Linked DNA regions of Saccharomyces cerevisiae S288C. The protein of the gene in region 3 binds, or shares a complex with, the protein of the main gene of each other region. Each region holds a gene or a part of one and is shown on either strand. Other genes may lie near its edges. A codon is read from its position in the direction of its gene.

Region 1 (5,441 bases), on a different chromosome or scaffold from region 3:
CACTAAGGAAGTTGAGGTGGAATACTTGCTAAGAAGGTTGGAAGAGTAAGCATGAAGGCTATCACGGTAACAATTCCACATTGCCGAGTGATTACTACGCATATATAAACACACACACTCACCATATATATGTACGCATAGTAGCATCTATTGAATATAAGAAGATAGAGTTTCAAGTTATACATTATATTGTACTATTTTCTTAAACGATGGCTCATAAATTCTATAGGAATTATCAACCCAATAACCTCATCGCTAATTCAAAAGTAGCAAAAGTGGCACCATTGGCGGGAGCAGCTCTTAGCATGGTAGGACCAAACCCTTTGAAAAAAGCGCCTATCCCTCCATTGGCATATAAAGTCTTGGCTACACTGGAAATAGAATTACCAAATTTAGGCTTTTGTAAATTATCCGTTTGCATGACAGACTTGATGACATCTAATGGATATACCATCAACCATAAGGCAGTGCCAGACAATGCTCCAAAAATACAAAGTTTCCATGCAGGAATGTCCTTTCTCTCTAGTCCACGTCTTTTGTTCATTTGGTTAGCAATCAACGCTTCATACACTAAGAAATATGTGCCACATCCATGACCTTCTCTCAATATTGTAGGTGTTAAACCACGTAGCAAGGCCTTGTTATGTCTTAATTTTTTGATGCATTCCAAAGGACCCTTGAATTCTGCGTTGGTGCCTGAGCCAGTCTGTGTTTGCAAGCGAATCCTGACATGCTCAATTGGGGACGCCAAGAATGAGTTTACTATACCGCCTGTGACACCACATGCGTAATACTGTGGCAATGACAAAGTCGATGACATATCAGCATTGCGATGATGAAAAAATCTCTTCATAGCTTCATTAACACCAAATTGTAATGAAACACATGCACCAACACCAATTAATGGCGTCAGAGTTCCTTTGTAAAACCCGCGAGGCCCTTCATTGGCAAGCAGCTTTCTGACGACTTCCATGGCTGTTGTTGGGGTGCTCGATGTTTGTAACCTAACTTTTGTCGTATCAAAGGGCTGGCCCACTAGCACTTGCGCAATACCACCCGCTGTACCTGCAAGCAAATCTTTCACGACTCGAGCATTATCATGCTGTGGATGTTCTTCCAAATCATCGATTAGTTGAGGAGATGGAAATTCTTCAGACATACTTCTTCGTGATGCGAATTTGATTGACGAGAAACCTAAACAAGAGAGCTGCGTTGGAGTATAGATGATAGTTGTTATTAGCTTATTGACATTGATTGATGCTATAGCATGGCTACATCATCGCTGACAATTTGCGCTCGAGTTTTCTTAGGGCGCCGCTTATCTTCGGCCTATCAGTAAATGTAAGAATGAGTCAATCAAAGTAATAACACTTTTTACTTCCTGTAAAAAACTACATAAGAAATTTATTTACATTATTCTATCAAGTCTTTTTGACCATAGTTCACTGCTATAACAGACACTGTCAGCTCAGTTATCGTCATATTCTCCACCGCGGCTGGTATCTCAACATTCAATTCCGCCATCTCCTTCGGGAGTGTTATTTTATTCTCATGTGCTTCAACTGGCTTCTTTTGAATCAGTTCAAGGCATTTCTTTCCAAGATCTCTCAAGATGCTTGTATATTCTGCCGTGACTCTTTCGGGTGTATGTACCAGTATGTAGAATAGCCAATCTTGCAGCCGACGATAATGCCTTCCTTTCTTGTGTATTTCTTTTATCCATGTATTCGACATATACTTGATCAGAACCCAAAGTTGCTTAGAGGTAATCTTTTCATGAAAAGTAGTATGCTGCGGTTCATTGTTTATAAGGTATTGGAACCACTGGTTGTATCCAACTAGTTCATGTTTATCTCCTTCAGTGATTACTTTTTTTACATCCTCAACACTGTCAATCTTGGTTTTTTCCAGCCGTACCAAAATATTCTTCGCCCATTCCTCATCAATCTGAAGATTTTCTTCCTTCTCTTCTGCCTTCTCAGGAAAGGAATGCTGATTTAGGACACTTATAATTTTTTCAACTGTAGTACATTTGCTGGGCATATCTTCGAGATAATTCTTTAAGAAAAGCAATAAAAGATCCAGTGTTTCGTCCTCATAACCGGTAAACTCGTAGGCATTAGTCAACACCGTCGCCTTCACAGAGTTAAACCACCTTACCCATATTTCTACATTCCTTTGAAGCCTAATCAAGGATGGCGAGATGGCGTGCCTTTTAAGGGCCCCCTCATCCTCATCATCGTACATGCTTGATTTGTGACGCGTCCTCTTTTGCAGATTCATATGATTCTTAATCGATATGGCGTTGGTTCTTAGTGCTTCTTGCCTAACACTTTTAAGATATTCAATGACATCAGGATTCACTGAAGAATCAGATAGTGCAAATGCACGAGATTGACCAAAGATGGCATCAGGCGCCTGGCTTTCTCCTCTTTTCATTGTTTATCACCTAATGTTTCTGTTATGATGGATGTTGGCAATGTTATTGTATGATACATTATCCAAAGCGAACTAATAAATCTACCGAAGCAACAACAGCGATGCACCCAGACAGTACATAGATAGTTATATTATCAAATTCGATATGATTGAAGTCAAAACAGTTCAAAGATGACACAACGTCTTAAGCTAATCACATCAAAAGCTTTTTTTTTTCTGTGGAATGTCCAATATACATGTGCTTAAAGCTAATTTTTTTTTATGTATTATTACGATGCATTGTGACGAAGGTTACCTGCTTGAAACGGATAATGTTCATTCCTTTCGTTCATGGTTTCGTCACCTTCTTTTTGGCTTTCAACCTTGGAACAACTGGTTTCCTCTTCAACTTGGCAATTACGTGCTCATCAAATTGAGAATCACAAGCAGGACATTTATTTCCGGGCGGTATGATTGATAAGACACATAGGCAAACTGAACAGATGAATCCAACGGCAACAACTCTCCCTGTTAAATAGCATGATGTCCTAAAATCTACAGATCCATGGTTTGGCTTAACAATTATAGGTCTTAACGACGGATCAATAAACATTGCAGTTGCTAAATATTGAATTAGCCCTTCTGTAGATTCAACATGTAAATAAACGCCATTTGTGGCATCCGTCGTTTGCTGTAAAAACGTGCTTTCCTTAGAACCACCAATCTTTACGACATCAATGGGACATTTCATTTTTGTTGCGGAAAAAATACAGTTCATTATAGGGATGTATTGGAAAATTTCATCTTTACTACTGCCACTCCCGCACGTAAGAACAAGTAGCCTTGATTTTAATGAGGTAGTTACTGACTCTTTTGATATTCTGTTTACATAAGTCAGCCCAGCTGACATGGCACCTGCTAGCGTGCTCCTTTGACTATTTTGTTCGATTTGTTTCTTTTCTAACTCAAATAGTTTATATATTTCTTCCACTAGCGTCTCATCAACGTTTCTAAAACGTCTATACATATCTGAGTTAATAATCTTAAGATCACTACGGGTTTTATTTTCAGATTCAGAGGCTTTTAGAGCAGATGTGCTCTCTGGGTATAAATATTTGATTCCCTGAGAGTATGCAGCAATGACTGCTACTTTGTTGGCGCTATTGAACGCTAAGTGAGCATTGAGAAATACTATCAATGCCTCTAAAACCTTTATTATACTTCCTTTCTCATTTCCTTCCTCATCAAAAGTTGTCCATAACTTTGGTGCAATTTCTATAATAACGGTAAGCAAAGATGGTGATTCTTCAGTAACCTGTTTTCTTGATCTAGCATGCTTAAACGTTGGATCAGATATTGCATCCATTTCTGATTGCTTCGCTTCAGTATATTTTATTGGATCGTGTATATTTCTACTCAAGTGTTGATTGATGTTGTAATGTTCCTTCAGGTATCTTTGAATTTCAACAGAACAAGACGAGCTGCGCGCTGAAAATAAAATAAAAGTGCAAGTGAAAAATATTGTAAAAATAAGGTAATTAAAAATATAGTTATTCGCTTATTATTGATCATTTTCATTCATTTATTTATCAAATTAATTTTACACAAACTAAAAATGTCATTTTTCGTTTGCAGTATGGACAGCATTCAATTTGCTTTTAAGTTTTCCAATCTTGGTGCGGGCTCCTTCTTTCGACTGCTCTTTTTCGAGGTTACTTAGTTTCTCCAAAGCTTCAGTGTACCTCTTATTGGAAGGTTTTATGGAACCCTTAGTTGAGCTAGTGCTTTGTCTCTTCAATTGACGATGCATTTCCTCGCTAAACTGCAGCCTCAATATGGTTTTCAAATCTTCGACAGAACAATGCGGTAATTCATTGTCTTTTATATATTCAAATAGTTCAGCTTCACTGGAGCCGCATAAAGAGTAAAAATTCATTGTGACGTTCATATTAATTTTTGATGGTTCAGAAGAAAGATTTCTATAGGCATGTTGTAAGACATTTACATTTCTCAACATTTTCTTTATCCCGTTATGGTTCAAAACTTTTATGGATTTGGCACCCTTAATCAAGGCGTAGTTGTTGACTATATCAAGACCAATAAATATGGAGTTTTTTTCCTTTTCTGGTAACTGTTGTTTCAATTTGCTTTCAGTCCTTCTTAATTCGGAAATTAGAGAAGCTATATTTTGATCTAATTCAATACTACCCACATCCATATTCCAAATTTTGGTGTTTTGAAAAAAAGACCCGATGTCGTATATACACAAGGCCCTAATGTTGAACCTCAGTATAGTGATTAGTTTGAATTTCAAGGTTTTGAATCCGTCGATAGTCTCATCAAATTTTTTGGAGGCTTTATCATCCAATAAAATTTTTAGATTTCCTAATGAATTTGGGCTGGAACTAGGGTTCGAATAGTTTAAATCCATTGATTCAGAAAATGTCCAGCTGCTCCTTAATCTATCAGCATCTAACATGGGTTCTTGGCTTACTTCATCAATATTGATAGCCTTTTTTAAGCCTGGCAGCCAGTTTAATATCCATAACACGCTTGCCGAAAACTGCAGAATTGTGTCCAATGTCAAGTTATTGAATAAATCAGATTTGCTCAAACCTTTACCCGCTTGATAGAAATGAGGTATTTCCTTAAATAACTCTATGGATTCTTCATGAAAGAGTGTCTCATCCCCATTCAGAATTTTTTGTTCTTGATCCATCAAAATACCATTCTGCAACCATGCCGTAATTATTTTCCTAGTTAAATGTCTATCAGAAGTACCAATCAAGGAATTAAATAGCCCCAAGTAGTAATTATAAAAATGATTCAAAAGATCTAGAATGCAGTACGATATTTTTTCTCTAAATGTGTTTGCTGTGTTGAAAACATTCAATAAATTGTAAAATAACCTTTGAAAATCTAATGCTGTTTTAAAAATGTTATGATTTTCATCGGATAGCTCTAAGGCGTACGGATTATTGGATTCTACTTCAACCGTGAATAAATAATCCATAGTCATCTGA
Region 2 (9,795 bases), on a different chromosome or scaffold from region 3:
TGATACATGTTATTGATATAACAAGTAAATTTAAAATTAATATTCAATCGTCATTGGAAAACTCTGAAAACGAATTAGGAAACGTCATTGAAGAGTTACGAAATTTGGAGTTTGAAACTGAACATAACGTAACAAATTAATAAAATAAATGATATATAATACCCGAGCAATCTACAGCAAAGCTCAGCCCCACCTTTCCGCATTTTAATAACCTGCATTTTGTTCAATTCCACCCTCACTCCCCTTCTCAAGTATTCCAAACCAATTTAAGTAAGTATTGATATGTAGTTATTTTTAAAATAAATATATGTAAGTATATTTGGATGCTTTAATTAGGAATGTTCTATTTTTTTTTTATTTTTTATATTATGGAAGAAAATGGACGTGACGAATCAATAAAAGAAAGAACAGCGACGAAAGAATAAGAAGACGGTGGGAACAAAAAGGTATTATGACTGAATAGATTCAAAATAGGAAGGTGACAATGAAACCAAGCCTATTCACTTCTTCAAATTCTTATAATACATCTTTCTGATTAATGGATGATGTTCCTTCAGTTCTTTGTTTTTATTGGTACTGTATTCCATATATGCCATATCTTCACCGCCAGCAAGACCAGACAATGAACCTTCACCTCTAACGGCCTTTGATTTAAATCTTTTGTGGCCATTTGAACCTCTCCCAACAGAATTGTCAGCGTCATCACCGACCTCGATACCAGCAGCTTCTTCGTTCTTCAATAATACTTCTTGCAATAGCTCTCTACGTTCTCTGGGTGAAGCATATGCCAAATTTGGAATGTTCTCCATTCCGTGTAAATGTGTAATGACTTTGAATGCGTAACCTTGATCTACCAAAAACGCTTGTCTCTTTGTTGAGTAGTACATTTCTTGCGTATCCTTAGAAACCAGAGAATAAAAGAACGCATTGAAACCTTCGTCATTACGTCTTTTAGCTCTTAAAATTCTTCCTAATCTTTGGGCTTCTTGACGACGAGACCCATAGTGCGAAGATATTTGAATTAAACAGGTAGCTTCTGGTAAATCGATGGAAGTATCACCAACTTTTGATAGAAATATGGTATTGATTTGGTCATTGTACTGGAAATTTTGCAGAATGTTCATACGCTCTTGTTGTGGTGTGGAACCATAAATAAATGGTTTTCCCATTTTCAAAGCATATTCTTGTAAGGCGTAAACATTATCTGAAAAAACGATGATCTTATCACCCCTCCTTTCGTGATATTGAATTAAGAATTGGCATGCCTGAAACTTTGTTGGATTCATGATATACAGTAGCATTCTTTTCCTTGCAGTTTCTCTTAAATACTCTTGGTAAAATTCTGCTGTCATGGGACACCAAACCTCTGCACATTGGACATTTGCAATATGTCCTTTTTGGGATAATTCCATCCAATTTGCTTCATAAAGTTTTGGACCAATTAAAAAATTCAGATCACCAATTTTATCATCTTCTCTAACCAGCGTTGCGGTCAGTCCCAATTTGGCGTGTGCTGCGATGGTGGAGACCACCCTACGGAACATTGCGGCGGGCACCACATGAACTTCGTCAAGAATAATGAACCCCCATTCCCTACCGGTCAAGAAATCCATAACTTTTTGTGAATCATGAGACCTGTTTCTTGTGTTTGCCACCATTGAATAAGTGGAAACAACCAAACCGGATTCTGTCTGGAACATTTCCTTATTATCAGAGGTGAAAACAGCACAATTTTCAGGTTGTAAGGTACACCATTGTAAAAATTGCTGCCTCCATTGCATGACGGAGACTGATGAAGTACATAAAACAATTACGGATTTTTTTATAGTACATGCTGCGGTAATACCGACCAAAGTTTTACCTGCGCCACATGGCAAAACAATAATCCCTGAACGAGCACGCCCATTACCAAACATTTTACTCAGCGATTTTTCTTGATAGGGTCTGATTTGAGTGGAAGGTTTCAAATCAATATCTAAATCCGGGTTTCTATGGTCGTTTCTAAAGTCGTATTCTTCCAACACGGGATAATCGATTTCTTGACATCTTTTCTTTACGACTTCAACAGACTCATTGGCAATTTCAAAGGAGTGAACGGCATCAATATCATCATCTTCTTCTTCCCGCTCATTATCACCACCTATAACTGCACTAAACACGGCTTCCACATCGTTCGGATTAACATTAGTAGCGGGTTTTCCAGCGGTTTGCTGAAGTTGTTGCTGTAGTACATCCTCTGGTGGCTGTACTTGATGATCGCTATCTATTCTTAGGGGCCCGATGACGGAATCATTCAGCAACATTTGCAGAATATCTGCTTGTGTAGTCTCCACGAAATATCTATTATGCTTAATAACTAGTTTCACTTTACCGTATGAAATGGTAGCCCCTTTAATGAAGTTGATTATCGATTCAGCAACGGGTACTTTGGATAATCTATCCAGAACTGAAATGATATCATCCGTCTCCAACCCTACAGAAACAGCTGCATACAAAGAGTATGCTGTGATCTTGTATTCATGAATATGGGAGGGTCTACTTATAGGCTCTGCAATGGTGACCAGAAAGTCCTGAGCCTGTTCTGCTAATGGAGAGAAACTCTCCAGAATGATCCTACCGTCACTTGGCGAGATCCAAAGGGGCCTGGAAGCATGGTCTGGTCTTAACCGCAAATAACTAAAGTCATGGCTTCTGAACATTCCAGAGACGGAATCTGGAACGAAATCTGCTGGTATATCGCTATTAGTGTCCTGCAAAAGCGCTTTATCCTTAGCGTCCATTTGATTCATAGAGGAATCCGCCGCTGTATGCCTGCTACTCTTGGTCTTTTTCCGAGGCTTCTTCAACCCTGTTACCATGGCGCCGGTATCCCTTTCTCCACGTCCTTCTGACGTTTCCCTGTTATCATCATAGTTCTCATCGATCTCTGCATCAGTAGCTGGTGAATCCTCATCTGATGAGAAAAAGGACTCACCCATATCTGGAAAGATTTTCCCCTTGCTCTTAGGTTGGTAGCCTTCAACGTCCGTCATGATTTATCTTCCACTGATTCCAACGTCAGTAGATGCTACTTTTACTAAATAATGTAGATATCATTACTATTATCTATCCTTACTAAGGACCTTTTTCCTTATACTTCTTAGAAGAAAAACCTCGTTTCTAACGATCTGAAATTTTTTTCTCTTCGCGGTGGCGAGTTTAAAAGACAAGAGCAGAGCAATAAAAAAGAGGATGAAAGGTGGCCATTAAATAGGCAAGAAGAGTCAGTCGTACAAAGCTCAAAAGATTCAGGATGAGTGTACAGATATTTGGAGACCAGGTTACAGAAGAAAGAGCGGAAAACGCCCGTTTGTCGGCGTTTGTCGGTGCCATTGCCGTGGGTGATTTGGTGAAAAGCACATTAGGCCCAAAAGGGATGGATAAATTATTGCAAAGTGCGTCCAGTAACACTTGCATGGTAACAAACGATGGTGCTACGATTCTGAAGTCAATTCCGCTGGATAATCCCGCAGCCAAAGTGTTGGTGAACATCAGTAAGGTGCAGGATGACGAAGTTGGAGATGGTACCACTAGTGTTACTGTTTTGAGCGCAGAGTTGCTTAGAGAAGCAGAGAAGTTGATTGATCAATCCAAAATCCACCCTCAAACTATTATTGAAGGTTACCGACTAGCTTCAGCAGCCGCATTGGATGCGTTAACGAAAGCGGCTGTTGACAACTCTCATGATAAGACCATGTTCCGTGAAGATCTGATCCATATTGCCAAGACTACTTTATCTTCCAAAATTTTGTCTCAGGATAAGGATCACTTCGCAGAATTAGCAACTAATGCTATTTTGAGATTGAAGGGCTCCACTAACTTAGAACATATTCAGATCATTAAGATTCTTGGTGGAAAGCTATCAGATTCGTTCCTTGACGAAGGTTTCATTCTTGCCAAAAAATTTGGTAACAACCAACCCAAGAGAATTGAAAATGCTAAGATTCTAATCGCCAATACAACTTTGGATACAGACAAGGTCAAAATATTCGGCACCAAATTCAAAGTCGATTCTACTGCTAAATTGGCACAACTAGAAAAGGCAGAACGTGAAAAGATGAAGAATAAAATTGCCAAGATTTCCAAGTTTGGTATCAACACTTTCATCAATAGACAACTAATTTATGACTATCCAGAGCAATTATTTACAGATTTGGGCATAAACTCAATTGAGCATGCTGATTTTGAAGGTGTAGAAAGGCTCGCCCTGGTTACAGGCGGTGAGGTGGTGTCTACATTTGACGAGCCAAGTAAATGCAAACTGGGAGAATGTGACGTGATCGAGGAAATTATGCTTGGTGAACAGCCATTCTTGAAGTTTAGTGGTTGCAAAGCTGGTGAAGCTTGTACCATCGTCCTAAGAGGTGCTACCGACCAAACGCTTGATGAAGCTGAGAGATCCCTGCATGACGCATTGTCCGTGTTGTCACAGACCACAAAGGAAACAAGAACTGTTCTTGGCGGCGGTTGCGCCGAGATGGTCATGTCAAAAGCTGTGGACACCGAAGCTCAAAACATCGACGGAAAGAAGTCCCTTGCCGTGGAGGCTTTTGCCCGTGCTCTGAGACAACTGCCAACCATTTTGGCAGATAATGCTGGTTTTGACAGCAGCGAACTTGTGTCCAAACTAAGATCCTCCATATACAACGGTATCTCCACCTCAGGTTTAGATCTCAACAACGGAACCATTGCCGACATGAGACAGTTAGGTATCGTCGAGAGTTACAAGCTAAAACGAGCAGTAGTCAGCTCTGCATCTGAAGCCGCTGAAGTTCTACTAAGGGTGGATAACATCATCCGTGCAAGACCAAGAACCGCCAATAGACAACATATGTAACATATTTAGGATATACCTCGAAAATAATAAACCGCCACACTGTCATTATTATAATTAGAAACAGAACGCAAAAATTATCCACTATATAATTCAAAGACGCGAAAAAAAAAGAACAACGCGTCATAGAACTTTTGGCAATTCGCGTCACAAATAAATTTTGGCAACTTATGTTTCCTCTTCGAGCAGTACTCGAGCCCTGTCTCAAGAATGTAATAATACCCATCGTAGGTATGGTTAAAGATAGCATCTCCACAACCTCAAAGCTCCTTGCCGAGAGTCGCCCTCCTTTGTCGAGTAATTTTCACTTTTCATATGAGAACTTATTTTCTTATTCTTTACTCTCACATCCTGTAGTGATTGACACTGCAACAGCCACCATCACTAGAAGAACAGAACAATTACTTAATAGAAAAATTATATCTTCCTCGAAACGATTTCCTGCTTCCAACATCTACGTATATCAAGAAGCATTCACTTACCATGACACAGCTTCAGATTTCATTATTGCTGACAGCTACTATATCACTACTCCATCTAGTAGTGGCCACGCCCTATGAGGCATATCCTATCGGAAAACAATACCCCCCAGTGGCAAGAGTCAATGAATCGTTTACATTTCAAATTTCCAATGATACCTATAAATCGTCTGTAGACAAGACAGCTCAAATAACATACAATTGCTTCGACTTACCGAGCTGGCTTTCGTTTGACTCTAGTTCTAGAACGTTCTCAGGTGAACCTTCTTCTGACTTACTATCTGATGCGAACACCACGTTGTATTTCAATGTAATACTCGAGGGTACGGACTCTGCCGACAGCACGTCTTTGAACAATACATACCAATTTGTTGTTACAAACCGTCCATCCATCTCGCTATCGTCAGATTTCAATCTATTGGCGTTGTTAAAAAACTATGGTTATACTAACGGCAAAAACGCTCTGAAACTAGATCCTAATGAAGTCTTCAACGTGACTTTTGACCGTTCAATGTTCACTAACGAAGAATCCATTGTGTCGTATTACGGACGTTCTCAGTTGTATAATGCGCCGTTACCCAATTGGCTGTTCTTCGATTCTGGCGAGTTGAAGTTTACTGGGACGGCACCGGTGATAAACTCGGCGATTGCTCCAGAAACAAGCTACAGTTTTGTCATCATCGCTACAGACATTGAAGGATTTTCTGCCGTTGAGGTAGAATTCGAATTAGTCATCGGGGCTCACCAGTTAACTACCTCTATTCAAAATAGTTTGATAATCAACGTTACTGACACAGGTAACGTTTCATATGACTTACCTCTAAACTATGTTTATCTCGATGACGATCCTATTTCTTCTGATAAATTGGGTTCTATAAACTTATTGGATGCTCCAGACTGGGTGGCATTAGATAATGCTACCATTTCCGGGTCTGTCCCAGATGAATTACTCGGTAAGAACTCCAATCCTGCCAATTTTTCTGTGTCCATTTATGATACTTATGGTGATGTGATTTATTTCAACTTCGAAGTTGTCTCCACAACGGATTTGTTTGCCATTAGTTCTCTTCCCAATATTAACGCTACAAGGGGTGAATGGTTCTCCTACTATTTTTTGCCTTCTCAGTTTACAGACTACGTGAATACAAACGTTTCATTAGAGTTTACTAATTCAAGCCAAGACCATGACTGGGTGAAATTCCAATCATCTAATTTAACATTAGCTGGAGAAGTGCCCAAGAATTTCGACAAGCTTTCATTAGGTTTGAAAGCGAACCAAGGTTCACAATCTCAAGAGCTATATTTTAACATCATTGGCATGGATTCAAAGATAACTCACTCAAACCACAGTGCGAATGCAACGTCCACAAGAAGTTCTCACCACTCCACCTCAACAAGTTCTTACACATCTTCTACTTACACTGCAAAAATTTCTTCTACCTCCGCTGCTGCTACTTCTTCTGCTCCAGCAGCGCTGCCAGCAGCCAATAAAACTTCATCTCACAATAAAAAAGCAGTAGCAATTGCGTGCGGTGTTGCTATCCCATTAGGCGTTATCCTAGTAGCTCTCATTTGCTTCCTAATATTCTGGAGACGCAGAAGGGAAAATCCAGACGATGAAAACTTACCGCATGCTATTAGTGGACCTGATTTGAATAATCCTGCAAATAAACCAAATCAAGAAAACGCTACACCTTTGAACAACCCCTTTGATGATGATGCTTCCTCGTACGATGATACTTCAATAGCAAGAAGATTGGCTGCTTTGAACACTTTGAAATTGGATAACCACTCTGCCACTGAATCTGATATTTCCAGCGTGGATGAAAAGAGAGATTCTCTATCAGGTATGAATACATACAATGATCAGTTCCAATCCCAAAGTAAAGAAGAATTATTAGCAAAACCCCCAGTACAGCCTCCAGAGAGCCCGTTCTTTGACCCACAGAATAGGTCTTCTTCTGTGTATATGGATAGTGAACCAGCAGTAAATAAATCCTGGCGATATACTGGCAACCTGTCACCAGTCTCTGATATTGTCAGAGACAGTTACGGATCACAAAAAACTGTTGATACAGAAAAACTTTTCGATTTAGAAGCACCAGAGAAGGAAAAACGTACGTCAAGGGATGTCACTATGTCTTCACTGGACCCTTGGAACAGCAATATTAGCCCTTCTCCCGTAAGAAAATCAGTAACACCATCACCATATAACGTAACGAAGCATCGTAACCGCCACTTACAAAATATTCAAGACTCTCAAAGCGGTAAAAACGGAATCACTCCCACAACAATGTCAACTTCATCTTCTGACGATTTTGTTCCGGTTAAAGATGGTGAAAATTTTTGCTGGGTCCATAGCATGGAACCAGACAGAAGACCAAGTAAGAAAAGGTTAGTAGATTTTTCAAATAAGAGTAATGTCAATGTTGGTCAAGTTAAGGACATTCACGGACGCATCCCAGAAATGCTGTGATTATACGCAACGATATTTTGCTTAATTTTATTTTCCTGTTTTATTTTTTATTAGTGGTTTACAGATACCCTATATTTTATTTAGTTTTTATACTTAGAGACATTTAATTTTAATTCCATTCTTCAAATTTCATTTTTGCACTTAAAACAAAGATCCAAAAATGCTCTCGCCCTCTTCATATTGAGAATACACTCCATTCAAAATTTTGTCGTCACCGCTGATTAATTTTTCACTAAACTGATGAATAATCAAAGGCCCCACGTCAGAACCGACTAAAGAAGTGAGTTTTATTTTAGGAGGTTGAAAACCATTATTGTCTGGTAAATTTTCATCTTCTTGACATTTAACCCAGTTTGAATCCCTTTCAATTTCTGCTTTTTCCTCCAAACTATCGACCCTCCTGTTTCTGTCCAACTTATGTCCTAGTTCCAATTCGATCGCATTAATAACTGCTTCAAATGTTATTGTGTCATCGTTGACTTTAGGTAATTTCTCCAAATGCATAATCAAACTATTTAAGGAAGATCGGAATTCGTCGAACACTTCAGTTTCCGTAATGATCTGATCGTCTTTATCCACATGTTGTAATTCACTAAAATCTAAAACGTATTTTTCAATGCATAAATCGTTCTTTTTATTAATAATGCAGATGGAAAATCTGTAAACGTGCGTTAATTTAGAAAGAACATCCAGTATAAGTTCTTCTATATAGTCAATTAAAGCAGGATGCCTATTAATGGGAACGAACTGCGGCAAGTTGAATGACTGGTAAGTAGTGTAGTCGAATGACTGAGGTGGGTATACATTTCTATAAAATAAAATCAAATTAATGTAGCATTTTAAGTATACCCTCAGCCACTTCTCTACCCATCTATTCATAAAGCTGACGCAACGATTACTATTTTTTTTTTCTTCTTGGATCTCAGTCGTCGCAAAAACGTATACCTTCTTTTTCCGACCTTTTTTTTAGCTTTCTGGAAAAGTTTATATTAGTTAAACAGGGTCTAGTCTTAGTGTGAAAGCTAGTGGTTTCGATTGACTGATATTAAGAAAGTGGAAATTAAATTAGTAGTGTAGACGTATATGCATATGTATTTCTCGCCTGTTTATGTTTCTACGTACTTTTGATTTATAGCAAGGGGAAAAGAAATACATACTATTTTTTGGTAAAGGTGAAAGCATAATGTAAAAGCTAGAATAAAATGGACGAAATAAAGAGAGGCTTAGTTCATCTTTTTTCCAAAAAGCACCCAATGATAATAACTAAAATGAAAAGGATTTGCCATCTGTCAGCAACATCAGTTGTGTGAGCAATAATAAAATCATCACCTCCGTTGCCTTTAGCGCGTTTGTCGTTTGTATCTTCCGTAATTTTAGTCTTATCAATGGGAATCATAAATTTTCCAATGAATTAGCAATTTCGTCCAATTCTTTTTGAGCTTCTTCATATTTGCTTTGGAATTCTTCGCACTTCTTTTCCCATTCATCTCTTTCTTCTTCCAAAGCAACGATCCTTCTACCCATTTGCTCAGAGTTCAAATCGGCCTCTTTCAGTTTATCCATTGCTTCCTTCAGTTTGGCTTCACTGTCTTCTAGCTGTTGTTCTAGATCCTGGTTTTTCTTGGTGTAGTTCTCATTATTAGATCTCAAGTTATTGGAGTCTTCAGCCAATTGCTTTGTATCAGACAATTGACTCTCTAACTTCTCCACTTCACTGTCGAGTTGCTCGTTTTTAGCGGACAAAGATTTAATCTCGTTTTCTTTTTCAGTGTTAGATTGCTCTAATTCTTTGAGCTGTTCTCTCAGCTCCTCATATTTTTCTTGCCATGACTCAGATTCTAATTTTAAGCTATTCAATTTCTCTTTGATCTTCTCCATTTTGCTAATTGCTATTTTAGATGCTTTCTCAACCTCATGAGAAAAAAATTACTAGATTAATATTCCTTATGTTTACATTCTTTTATACC
Region 3 (8,235 bases):
GGGATGCCGTTGAAATCAATTCTTTTGCGGCTTGAGTGGCCAAAATCCCTAATGAAACCTGTATAGGAGCAGCATTACTGGGAGTTTTTGAAAGACTCTGTAATCTTCCGACGTAATTTTTGTAGTTATAAACTAAGGCTTGCTCAAAGTTTCTAAGCTTGGAGACTTCTTTAGAAACTTTTTCCTTCTTTTCAGTTTCAGTTAGTGGTCGAATTCTATAGCCTGGTATGATACTCTTAAACACGGGGACCAAAGCCAACATGGAAAACTTACAAGTATTAGGATTTTTAGATTCCACCATTTTACATAGACGCCCCAACGCAGCAGTATTTTCTTCAGGCTCCTCCATAACTTTAGTGACTAAATCGGCAATGTCTTCTTTTAGTTGCAGAATTTTTTCCTCCGTATCAGGCTCATCCTCCTTTGCCTCTGCTTCTTGTTCTTCATTAGGTCCCTCATCATCTTCTGAAGAGTCATTAGAGTCTTCGTCTTCCTCATCATCGTCCTTTGGTTTTTCTTGGGCTTTATGCAATTTTCTTTCAACTTTACCGTTAACTTTTATAGGCAGGCCTTCAACAAGATTTGATGTATCAGACCGATTCTTCCGAGGAACCATTTCGTAATCCTGTTCTTCTTCATCCCAGGATGAGCCTTTTGCGCTATATATGGTATTTTCATCCATATCTTCCGGTGCATTTTGGAAAACATTGCCTTCTAACAAGGAATCTTCGTGCTTTCTTTTCTTTGCAGTCCTTTCCTGAATGCGAAATTGAGATCTATTTCTCTTAGCCATTATTACTATGATATCTCCAGCTTTTATCCCGGAATTATACTCTTATGATTGAAGACATAAAATGCCAAGTTTATACCATGAAAATACTATATATGGCAGGCAGGTGAATGAGATGAGATAAAATTTTCAGTTTTCGGGCATCGCTGAAAAAATTCAAAAACTAAAGTAAAACGACGTCCCATGGTCTACTCTACGGTGAAGAAAATGAGGGAAGACATTGAATTTCTGAATCTAAGTAACTACAAAAAAGCATACACTCCATGGAAAGAGTAAAATAGGATAAATTGGTTTTATGTAGTTAAAGAAAAAATACATTGTTATATATGGAGTTTGCTGCGCGCCTAGGCGTTCTCGAAGTTTCTCCTTTGATTTTACTTTTTGGAAGGGCTTTGGACAATTTAAAGAAGATAATTTGAAGTACCCCATCAAATGCTAGAATGAAATATTTAATATACTAAATTAAGGCTGGTATTTAAAAACGTAATCTTATGTGTAGAACCTCAGTGAAAAAGCGCTATTATTAATATAACAGTATTTTCACGGAGCTTTTTTTATTCAAAAAGGTTTTCAAGACTTGGCAGAGGACGGCTGCATTCTCGAATGATAATATAGTATTATCCTTAGGATCTAAATAACTTGCATCAAGAATGATATCTAACTTTTCCTTACCTTGGAAAAGTAAGTCAGTAGCTTCTATAATTTTCTGCATTCTTGTTGGAGTGGCAATAAAATATAGTGAATCTTTATTTTTGTTTGATTTTTTAGAGCTGTCAGTAAGTAAACGTTCCACGGTGGCTATGTCATCCTTTAGTTTACTTTTAGAGAATAATTTGACGCAATTTTTGCCACCGTTTAGACTACGATAAACGTCTGCTACTCTAATATTAGACATAGAAAAAACAATTTTTTTTGGAGCTACGGAAAATTTTTGAATAAAGGCTGGGAAATTGCTTAATCTGCGTTCAGCGTCAAATTTTTCTGTCGAAAGAAAATCATTTCTTTTGAAGTAAAGTTCCTCTAATTCTAAAACACTCAAGTCAGGATTTTTTTCTCGTATCAAAGTTGTTAGGTACTCAATAATTTTTTCTGGTGAACTTGCTGGAAGTGCTTTTCGTTGTGAGACGATATACTGGCTTTCCTCTTTCTTTTTCTCAATTAGCTTTGATTTTTTCTGTAGCTTTTTCTGTCTTTTCGAAATAGGTCTATTCGAATCATCTTCTGAATTTCTCTCCTCTTTTTTCCCATCTATATCATCAACGTCATCGTCATCTTGTTCTATAGACCTCTTTTGTACCTTTTTGGTTGGGGGACTACCATCCTTGGCGTCAAAAATTACTTCATGTTCGGCATCAAAATCATAGGCGAGTCCATCATCTAAATCATCTGGATTAGACATTTTCAGCTCAATTGTCCTGACGATATGTTTAGAAGTTAGTAGCGGGGATCAAATTTCGACTTTCATTGCCTCATCCATGGTCATCTCAAAAATTTTCTCTTCAATTTTTTGGTAAATACCAAGTGCAATGAATGTTTGGGTGTCTTTGAATATTGAATATTACAGACTAAAAATATTATATATTGTAAATTAAAAGTTGATTATTAGTAAATGTACCTGAAATTTCTGTTTTCGATATCAGTCAAGTCCAAAAATTGGTACTTCTTCCTTTCTTGACCTTCTTGTTCCTTATCACGCTTTTCGTTCTCCTTCTTGCAAATGTAGCCAATGTATAATTGTAGGGGAACACAAACACACTGAGTGACCAATAAGGCAATCTTTGCTGGTATGTAACGTGGAGCAGAGTATGCCCTAAACATCTGTGGAGCAATAATACAGGAGACATTGTATACAATCATTGTAATAGCATTTCTAAAAACTCTTTTGGTGTAACCGGAGGTGTTGCATGAATTCCAGATGTAAATATTGGTAATGACACAGGAACCACTGTAAAGCAAGTACAGAGAAAATAAGTTACCGATCTTATGGGATAAGGGTAAACTGATAAGAACGATACAACCTATAATAGCTGGAATATACATAGATGTGGTTATGAGTGTGATATGACCCCAGCGGGACAACATTTGAGTTGTTATAAGAATAATCATAGCCGTAATGGCACCAATAGGCAACTGCAGTAATGCTGTTTCGTACTTGTCGAAACCAAAAGTACCAGTGATGGTCACTGAAAATGTACCAATGGCACCAGTAGAAATTTGAGAACATGCAGTTAATAAAAGCATCGGCCAAGTAAACTTATCATGAAGGAATAGTTCTTTAACTTGCTGCTTCTTAAACTTCTTTGTTTCCAGGCCAGTTTGGTTAGCTCTGATATGCTCAACAACTTGAATTTTTTCCTCTTTGTTTAGGAACCAAGCATTGGTGACGTTATCTGGAAGGTATAAGAATGTTAGAACACCAAACGCAACTGTAACCAGACCAACGACCAAAAACATTATTTGCCAAGAGGTGAAAGCGGTACCATGATAATGTAAAAAGCCAAAAGAAATTAACCCGCCCACAATATAACCTGTACCAGCCTGTGTGGCCCAGAATCCAATTCTTGCACTCTGTTCAGATTTAGTATAGTACATACCACTAATAGCGATACAACCAACTGCACTCGAGGATTCAAAGAGACCTAGGAGAGTACGAACGACCATCAACGAGGCGTACGTCTTACAAGCAGCATGGCAAGCCAACACGATACCCCAGACGGTAATAAAAGTACCTAGGATTTTGGAAATGGGGAATTTTTGAATTAAGTAAGTGACCACAGGTTCCATGAAAATGTAAGCAGCAGAAAAGATAGTACCCAAATTAGAAAATTCGTTACCTTTCAAATGATCTTTGATACCCATAGATGCAGCGTAGTTCAGCAGAGCCTTATCCAAAAACATCAGAAGATATGTACAGCATAAAAAGGGCAGGATGAAGAGGTCAACTTTTCTCAGGACCTTAGGAGATAATTCATGGGAACCATAGAAGTTGGCTTCTTCGCCTGCTACAACATCGTCTTCATTAGCCGTGGAGCTTTCGTCGAGACCGTTCTGTTTCAGGAATCTTAAAGCAACGTCCGCATCGTCTACATTAATGCTCGAGGTACTTACGGAACAACTATCAGCGTTAGCTGCCTTCTTCTCCACGTCCATGGATCGTTGTGACATGTTTTTCATTGTATTGATTTGCTGACACTCTCACTACTTCTCAGCAACAACAAAGTAAACTTTAATCTATCATACTTTGAACTATCTTATATACGTGTATATATGCACCCGCTGAGATGCTCATCGAGATTGCTCATCACCTCTGAAAAGGCTGTCTGTCACCACCATGTTTTCCGCCGGACCAAATGACAGTTCCTTAAGGGAAACTCAAAGAGACTATATTAACTAAGGAGGATCAACCAGATATGCAAAAAAAACAAATAGTTATGACGGCACTCGAACCAACCAAACACCACCCTATAATTAATGTTGATAATGATAGCGACTCGAAATTTGCCAATAAAACCTGTCTATTACGCGTCATCTACTTGAGAGTAATATACTGGAAGTTCGAGATACTCCGCACAGGGTCTGGGTGGTAGGTTTCTTTGCTATTGTATAGTTTTTCAAGATACGTAAAAGGTCTTCATCTTATCTTATATAGATGCAGGTGATTACTAGTGGGGCAAGTCGGCAGCTAATTGCGTGTGTGCGGAAGGATTGTGCAGTAGAATGGCTCCTGTAGTTATTTCAGAATCTGAAGAGGATGAGGATAGAGTTGCCATTACTAGAAGAACTAAGAGACAAGTTCATTTTGATGGCGAGGGAGATGATCGTGTAGACCAACAGCAACAGCAGCACAGTTCAAGCCACAGGGATAGGGATAAACATGTGCAGCGTAAGAAGAAGAAAAGGCTCTCGAATAGAAACCTGCAAGGTTCAAATGGTGGGTACGCTTGGGAGGATGAGATCAAGAGAAGTTGGGATTTGGTGAAAGTGGACGATGAAGGGGATATGGCATCTCTTGTGGCTAGCATAGTCGAGGCCAGAAAGAAACGTACTGCTAAGAAAAACATAACGCCATACCAAAGAGGTATTATCAGAAGTTTAATATTAACACTAGATTGTAGTGAAGCTATGTTGGAAAAGGATTTGAGACCAAACAGGCATGCCATGATTATCCAGTACGCCATAGATTTTGTCCATGAATTTTTCGACCAAAATCCGATATCTCAAATGGGTATTATCATAATGAGAAACGGTTTGGCACAACTGGTCAGCCAAGTTAGCGGAAACCCGCAGGATCACATTGATGCGTTGAAATCCATCAGGAAACAAGAACCGAAAGGAAACCCTTCATTGCAAAATGCATTGGAAATGGCAAGAGGCCTTTTATTGCCTGTTCCTGCGCATTGTACAAGGGAAGTACTGATTGTATTTGGTAGTCTTTCCACAACTGATCCTGGAGATATTCACCAAACTATCGATTCGTTAGTTTCTGAGAAAATTAGAGTGAAGGTTTTGGGGTTATCAGCTCAAGTGGCCATATGTAAAGAATTATGCAAGGCAACGAATTATGGTGATGAATCCTTCTATAAAATTTTACTCGATGAAACTCACTTAAAGGAGCTATTTAACGAGGCTGTTACCCCTTTACCCGTTAACAAAATTAATAAGGGTTTCACACTCGTAAAGATGGGGTTTCCGACAAGGATATTCGAAGATACTCCAACTTTTTGTTCGTGCCATTCCAAGTTAGTTTACGGCGGATACTTCTGTCCCAATTGTCATAGTAAAGTTTGTTCATTGCCCACAGTCTGTCCATGTTGTGACTTGATGCTAATCCTTTCTACCCACCTGGCCAGATCATATCACCATCTGATGCCGTTAAAAACATTTGCAGAAGTACCTACAACAGAAAAATTTCGATCAGAAGACTGCTTTAGTTGCCAGTCAAGATTTCCCATACTGAAAAACCATAAAAATGGTAAACTACTGACAAGTTCTCGCTATCGTTGTGAAGATTGTAAACAAGAATTTTGTGTTGACTGCGATGTGTTCATCCATGAAATCCTTCATAACTGCCCAGGCTGTGAATCCAAGCCCGTAATAACTTAACGAAAATCTGTCAGCGTATAACACGATCACTCTTCCATCATATAACAAATCCAAGTAGTAGAGAACGAAATAGTTTTTGATGGACATATAACTACATAATTATTACAAAAATAACCTCATTTAATGTCCTATTGTTTATTACGAGAAAATCTTAATAGCACTTACGGCATTAAGAATATTTATTACTATTTTCAATTTATCAGGCACTTATTCAACTAAAAAAAAAAAAAAAATTCTTTGTTTTACAATAATATTAATAATTATTTTGAATAAATATCGTTACATTCTATCATAATGTCCTCTACACGGTACAACCAAACTCACAATTCTATTTGAGTGGGCGAGAGGTTTGAATTTTTTCTTACTGGGCTGTGTGTAGGGGTCATAGATGTCGCTTGTTTGAATGAGTGAGGGTTGGAAGGTGCAATAGGTTTCTGTGGAGATTTAACCAAAACACTGTCGGTCATCCGGCTTTCTCCCTGCTTCCAGCTGTCAAAATCAATCAAGGCTTGCATACATCCCCACTCTGTAATTTTCTTACTAAGCCAGTGTAAATTCACTGGTTTAGTCAGGTAGTCGTTACAACCAGAAAGAAGTGCTTTTCTTTTATCCATCTGAGAGTTAGATGCGGTCAATGCTACAATAATCACGGGCGCCTGAGAGAATCTCTTTGAAGTACCTTTTTCAAGATTGGAGTGTGAGTTATTGAGACTTTTTTGAATGCCAATGCCATTTTGTTTTTCGAAGTCCCTAATCTGCTTGGCAGCTTCTATACCAGACAAGACAGGCAGCTGTAAATCCATAAATATTAAATGAAGACCGCCTTCCTTCCAAATATTAACAGCTTCTTGACCATTTTTAGCCAGTTTATATGAGATTTTGTGTTTCCTCAGAAAGGAACCTAAGATAGCTTGGTTGATGACGTTGTCTTCAACTATTAAAACATTAATTTTGGGGAAAACTTTTTCACTTGTGGTGGTAAAAAGGTTTGGTAAAGGATCTGGTGGAGAGGAAACAGCAAAAGGTGCGTTATAAAGCGAGTTTGAGTAATGCGGCGTTTGACTACTTGTTAATATTGGTGATGCGGGCGTAACGTCTTCTTTTCTTCTTTGTACTTCCGACATGGGTTGCGTTATGCCTATACCAGCTTCATTAAGTGATCCGCTTTCTTGCGAAGGGGATCCGGTGTTCACTTCTAACTCTGAATGAGTAATTGTGTCTTCATTATTGAAAGATGAATCCGTGTGGGCCACTGGTTTATTTCGAAAATCTACCCCTCCTTTATAACCTTTTGGTAACAGCAAGATTGCTTGCCAAGGAGACTCGGCATCCTTTTCCTCATCCTTCAGTTCTTGTGACGCTCTTCTCAATTGCTCTTCATCAGTTATTAATTTAAATTCCTGAGGGCTGCTATTGCCATCTTTACCTTTAAGATCTGCTTTATCACCAATTGTTTGCTTAAGACCTTGTTCGCCCGGAGAAATATGGTCGTCTAGATGAAAAACACCAACGGCCCCATGGTCTGTTGGTTGAGTTTTCTGCTGCGAAATTTCTTCATTCGTAGGAACATAGTCTACAACATTTAAGATATCTAAAGGCGGTACATCCTGGCGTAAATTAACATTCGAAAATATCAGCAAAGGCTGCGATGCAGGTTGGGAACCCATGGTTCCGAATAGTTCCTTATATATGTTAATAGCCAATTCATCCGGTTCAAAGATGATTTTATAAGTGCAATCATTAACTGATTCTGTGGTAAAATTTAAACCTTTTCTAATCAACGGCCTTGTGTATTTATTTTTATTATGCGGTGAGACGTATGTAAGACCAGCTGATGCCATAATTTGATTATCAGAATGAAATTTAGGGTAGGGTGAGACTGAGGCAAATCGCAGTAACGGACTTTTAGTTGTTGCTGGAAACTGTTTAGGACTAGTAGAGTATGGTCTTTGCGGGCTTAGCATTGGCGCCTCGTTGGGAGGAAAATCCACATTGGTAGTCGCGGCCACTGTCGGCACGGCGGCAAAGGCGTCGTATAATGCTCCTCTTTTCTGCGTAGGTTTAGGATGCTGGAGAACATTCCTGTCCTTTGCAAGGTCTTTTGAAAGACCAAATGATCCTGCTGTGGGGCTCACTGAACTCTTGGTATTGCTATTAACGGAAAGGTTGGCGCCACTTCCAGCACCGTTACTCTTACTTCGACAACTATTATCGTTAGTGTTGTTACTACTGGTATTGTCGGCTTGATTGTCAAATTTAGGTGCGTAGAGGCCTATTGCAATGGAAGCATTATCGTTAATTTCTCGCCATCGAGTCGAACTCAGTTTCTGAAAAAACCTGCT
Region 4 (2,478 bases), on a different chromosome or scaffold from region 3:
TTTTTTCCCGTATAATTCCAATATATCAGCGCATCTTGCTGATATTTTCTGTTCTATAACAATTTAATAAGGGCTGACAAACAAAAGTAATCACTTCGACAAGTACAAAATGGGTCTATTTAATAACTTCAAGTTTAAATATACAAGGGCGCAACTGGAGATCTTTAGATTTTCATTTTGTTTGCTAGCACCTGTTGCTGTAATGTACTATATTGGTACAGATACTGATAAAAAATTAAATGTTCCAGGGTTTTGGCCAGATCCTGCAACGTTGAACCAAATACCAAAAGAGCCTTATGAGATTAAAGCTGAACTGGCAAGGATGAAAAAAGAACGTTTAGAGAAAAGGCTTAGGTTGGAGAAAAAGATACAAGAGGAGTTTGGTTTAGACCTTGAGGAGGAAAAAGAAAAAATTAAACGGGATTTGGCTCTCAAAAAAGGATGAGAAAAGAAAACGGTTAAAGATGTATACTTGCACCTGACCACTTTTTCTTCCTTATATTTATTATTCTAACATGTACATACCTGTATAGTCGTATTTCCACTAGATCATCACTTCCCCTCTATATTCATGTCTGACCTGGTTATGCAGGTCATGCTCTATTCAAATAGTATTGAAAAAGCTGAATGAGCAATAATTACTGATTTTCTTCTTCATCCATAGGATTATATATATTCTTAGATAATAGCCTATTTAGCTCATGCTTAACAAATTCGACTTTCGAGGGATTTACTAAAAGATGGGTGTCATCCAACTCCTCTAGTACTATATCACTCATCTTGGCGTCAATTTGTAATATGAGCGCCTTGATGGATGGATCACATTGAACCAGTGCACCCTTTCTTGCTCTAGCCATTTTTTCGTTCTTTTACAAAAGTATCTTGGCTTTGTCTCTATTGGGAGTACACTTCTATCTTACTGCAGTTTGCTCGTCTTTTTTCAATAATACGATACAAAAGAAAAATTAAAAGGGCTATTGAGACTGTTGTAAAATATATATGCAAAATAAAAAAGCATTTTAACGAAGAGTATATACCTACTATTAGACATTAATGACTACAGATAATCATCAGAATGATTCTGTTTTGGATCAACAATCAGGCGAACGAACAATTGATGAGAGTAATTCCATCTCTGACGAGAATAATGTTGATAATAAGAGGGAAGACGTTAATGTAACTTCACCAACAAAAAGTGTTAGTTGCATATCACAAGCGGAAAATGGAGTAGCTTCTCGAACAGATGAGAGTACAATAACAGGAAGTGCGACGGATGCAGAAACAGGTGATGATGATGATGATGATGATGATGACGATGATGAAGATGAGGATGACGAAGATGAGCCCCCCTTATTGAAGTACACACGAATTAGTCAACTCCCGAAGAACTTTTTTCAACGAGACTCGATCTCTTCATGTTTATTTGGTGATACTTTTTTTGCATTTGGTACACACTCAGGCATTCTACACTTAACTACATGCGCGTTCGAACCCATTAAAACCATCAAATGCCATAGATCTTCGATACTTTGTATTAACACTGACGGAAAATATTTTGCTACGGGATCTATTGACGGGACAGTGATTATCGGATCGATGGATGATCCACAAAACATTACACAATACGATTTCAAAAGACCTATAAACTCTGTAGCGTTGCACTCAAATTTTCAAGCATCCAGAATGTTTGTTTCTGGTGGAATGGCTGGCGACGTTGTACTATCTCAGAGAAATTGGCTAGGAAATAGAATCGACATCGTTTTAAACAAGAAGAAAAAGAAAAAAACAAGAAAAGATGACCTATCCTCTGATATGAAGGGCCCTATCATGGGAATTTATACTATGGGTGACCTTATATTATGGATGGATGATGATGGAATAACATTTTGCGATGTTCCTACAAGATCACAGCTTTTGAATATTCCATTCCCCTCCAGAATTTTTAACGTACAGGATGTAAGGCCAGATCTATTTAGACCCCATGTTCATTTTTTAGAAAGTGATCGTGTCGTTATCGGATGGGGATCTAATATTTGGCTATTTAAAGTTTCCTTTACCAAGGATTCAAATTCGATCAAATCCGGTGACTCTAATTCTCAAAGTAATAATATGAGTCATTTTAACCCTACGACAAACATCGGATCTCTCTTGTCTAGTGCTGCATCGAGTTTTAGAGGGACACCTGATAAGAAAGTTGAATTAGAATGCCATTTTACTGTGTCAATGTTGATTACAGGGCTTGCATCGTTTAAGGATGATCAGTTATTATGCCTAGGTTTTGATATAGATATTGAAGAGGAAGCAACCATAGATGAAGATATGAAGGAGGGGAAGAATTTTAGCAAGCGGCCAGAAAACTTATTAGCCAAAGGGAATGCTCCAGAATTAAAAATTGTTGATCTTTTTAATGGTGATGAAATCTATAATGATGAAGTTATCATGAAAAACTATGAAAAATTGTCTATAAATGATTATCAC

What was found.
Region 1: the proteins of SSL1 (region 3) and TFB4 are in contact, whole or in part, in a cryo-EM structure (PDB 7K01), measured with the Saccharomyces cerevisiae proteins. Residues at the interface, in NP_013105.1 of Saccharomyces cerevisiae: Tyr118 (codon at 4,859), Gln119 (codon at 4,862), Arg120 (codon at 4,865), Ile122 (codon at 4,871), Phe317 (codon at 5,456), Thr318 (codon at 5,459), Leu319 (codon at 5,462), Val320 (codon at 5,465), Lys321 (codon at 5,468), Met322 (codon at 5,471), Gly323 (codon at 5,474), Phe324 (codon at 5,477), Pro325 (codon at 5,480), Thr326 (codon at 5,483), Pro350 (codon at 5,555), Asn351 (codon at 5,558), Leu372 (codon at 5,621), Ser373 (codon at 5,624), Thr374 (codon at 5,627), Leu376 (codon at 5,633), Ala377 (codon at 5,636), Arg378 (codon at 5,639), Ser379 (codon at 5,642), Tyr380 (codon at 5,645), His381 (codon at 5,648), Leu383 (codon at 5,654), Phe404 (codon at 5,717), Ser405 (codon at 5,720), Cys406 (codon at 5,723), Gln407 (codon at 5,726); in NP_015381.1 of Saccharomyces cerevisiae: Tyr85 (codon at 3,532), Pro88 (codon at 3,523), Glu89 (codon at 3,520), Ser90 (codon at 3,517), Thr148 (codon at 3,343), Gly151 (codon at 3,334), Ser154 (codon at 3,325), Ala155 (codon at 3,322), Leu157 (codon at 3,316), Thr158 (codon at 3,313), Tyr159 (codon at 3,310), Asn161 (codon at 3,304), Arg162 (codon at 3,301), Tyr193 (codon at 3,208), Ile194 (codon at 3,205), Pro195 (codon at 3,202), Met197 (codon at 3,196), Asn198 (codon at 3,193), Phe201 (codon at 3,184), Ser202 (codon at 3,181), Met206 (codon at 3,169), Asp271 (codon at 2,974), Phe272 (codon at 2,971), Arg273 (codon at 2,968), Val283 (codon at 2,938), Ala284 (codon at 2,935), Val285 (codon at 2,932), Gly286 (codon at 2,929), Phe287 (codon at 2,926), Ile288 (codon at 2,923).
Region 2: SSL1 (region 3) and SSL2 share a complex: the UniProt entries of both Saccharomyces cerevisiae proteins name them as parts of the 7-subunit TFIIH core complex.
Region 4: SSL1 (region 3) and TFB5 share a complex: the UniProt entries of both Saccharomyces cerevisiae proteins name them as parts of the 7-subunit TFIIH core complex.

The regions. Positions count from the first base shown.
Region 1 is NC_001148.4:669,469-674,909, reverse strand, and holds TFB4 (TFIIH/NER complex subunit TFB4), read right to left. Parts: upstream 3,785-5,441; coding exon 2,768-3,784; downstream 1-2,767. Other genes in the region: chorismate mutase ARO7, read left to right, coding at 1-49; YMC1 (organic acid transporter), read right to left, coding at 236-1,159; BRR1 (Brr1p), read right to left, coding at 1,414-2,439; exocyst subunit SEC8, read right to left, coding at 4,037-5,441. UniProt on the Saccharomyces cerevisiae protein: Component of the general transcription and DNA repair factor IIH (TFIIH) core complex, which is involved in general and transcription-coupled nucleotide excision repair (NER) of damaged DNA and, when complexed to TFIIK, in RNA transcription by RNA polymerase II.
Region 2 is NC_001141.2:80,010-89,804, forward strand, and holds SSL2 (TFIIH/NER complex ATPase/helicase subunit SSL2), read right to left. Parts: upstream 3,033-9,795; coding exon 501-3,032; downstream 1-500. Other genes in the region: kinetochore-associated Ndc80 complex subunit NDC80, read left to right, coding at 1-140; chaperonin-containing T-complex subunit CCT2, read left to right, coding at 3,293-4,876; AXL2 (Axl2p), read left to right, coding at 5,357-7,828; REV7 (Rev7p), read right to left, coding at 7,970-8,707; tropomyosin TPM2, read right to left, coding at 9,221-9,706. UniProt on the Saccharomyces cerevisiae protein: ATP-dependent DNA translocase. Component of the general transcription and DNA repair factor IIH (TFIIH) core complex. When complexed to CDK-activating kinase (CAK), involved in RNA transcription by RNA polymerase II.
Region 3 is NC_001144.5:155,542-163,776, forward strand, and holds SSL1 (TFIIH/NER complex subunit SSL1), read left to right. Parts: upstream 1-4,507; coding exon 4,508-5,893; downstream 5,894-8,235. Other genes in the region: NOC3 (Noc3p), read right to left, coding at 1-793; CMS1 (Cms1p), read right to left, coding at 1,314-2,189; THI73 (Thi73p), read right to left, coding at 2,393-3,964; mitogen-activated protein kinase kinase kinase SSK1, read right to left, coding at 6,214-8,235. UniProt on the Saccharomyces cerevisiae protein: Component of the general transcription and DNA repair factor IIH (TFIIH) core complex, which is involved in general and transcription-coupled nucleotide excision repair (NER) of damaged DNA and, when complexed to TFIIK, in RNA transcription by RNA polymerase II.
Region 4 is NC_001136.10:602,955-605,432, forward strand, and holds TFB5 (TFIIH complex subunit TFB5), read right to left. Parts: upstream 858-2,478; coding exon 639-857; downstream 1-638. Other genes in the region: PET100 (Pet100p), read left to right, coding at 110-445; VPS41 (Vps41p), read left to right, coding at 1,054-2,478. UniProt on the Saccharomyces cerevisiae protein: Component of the general transcription and DNA repair factor IIH (TFIIH) core complex, which is involved in general and transcription-coupled nucleotide excision repair (NER) of damaged DNA and, when complexed to TFIIK, in RNA transcription by RNA polymerase II.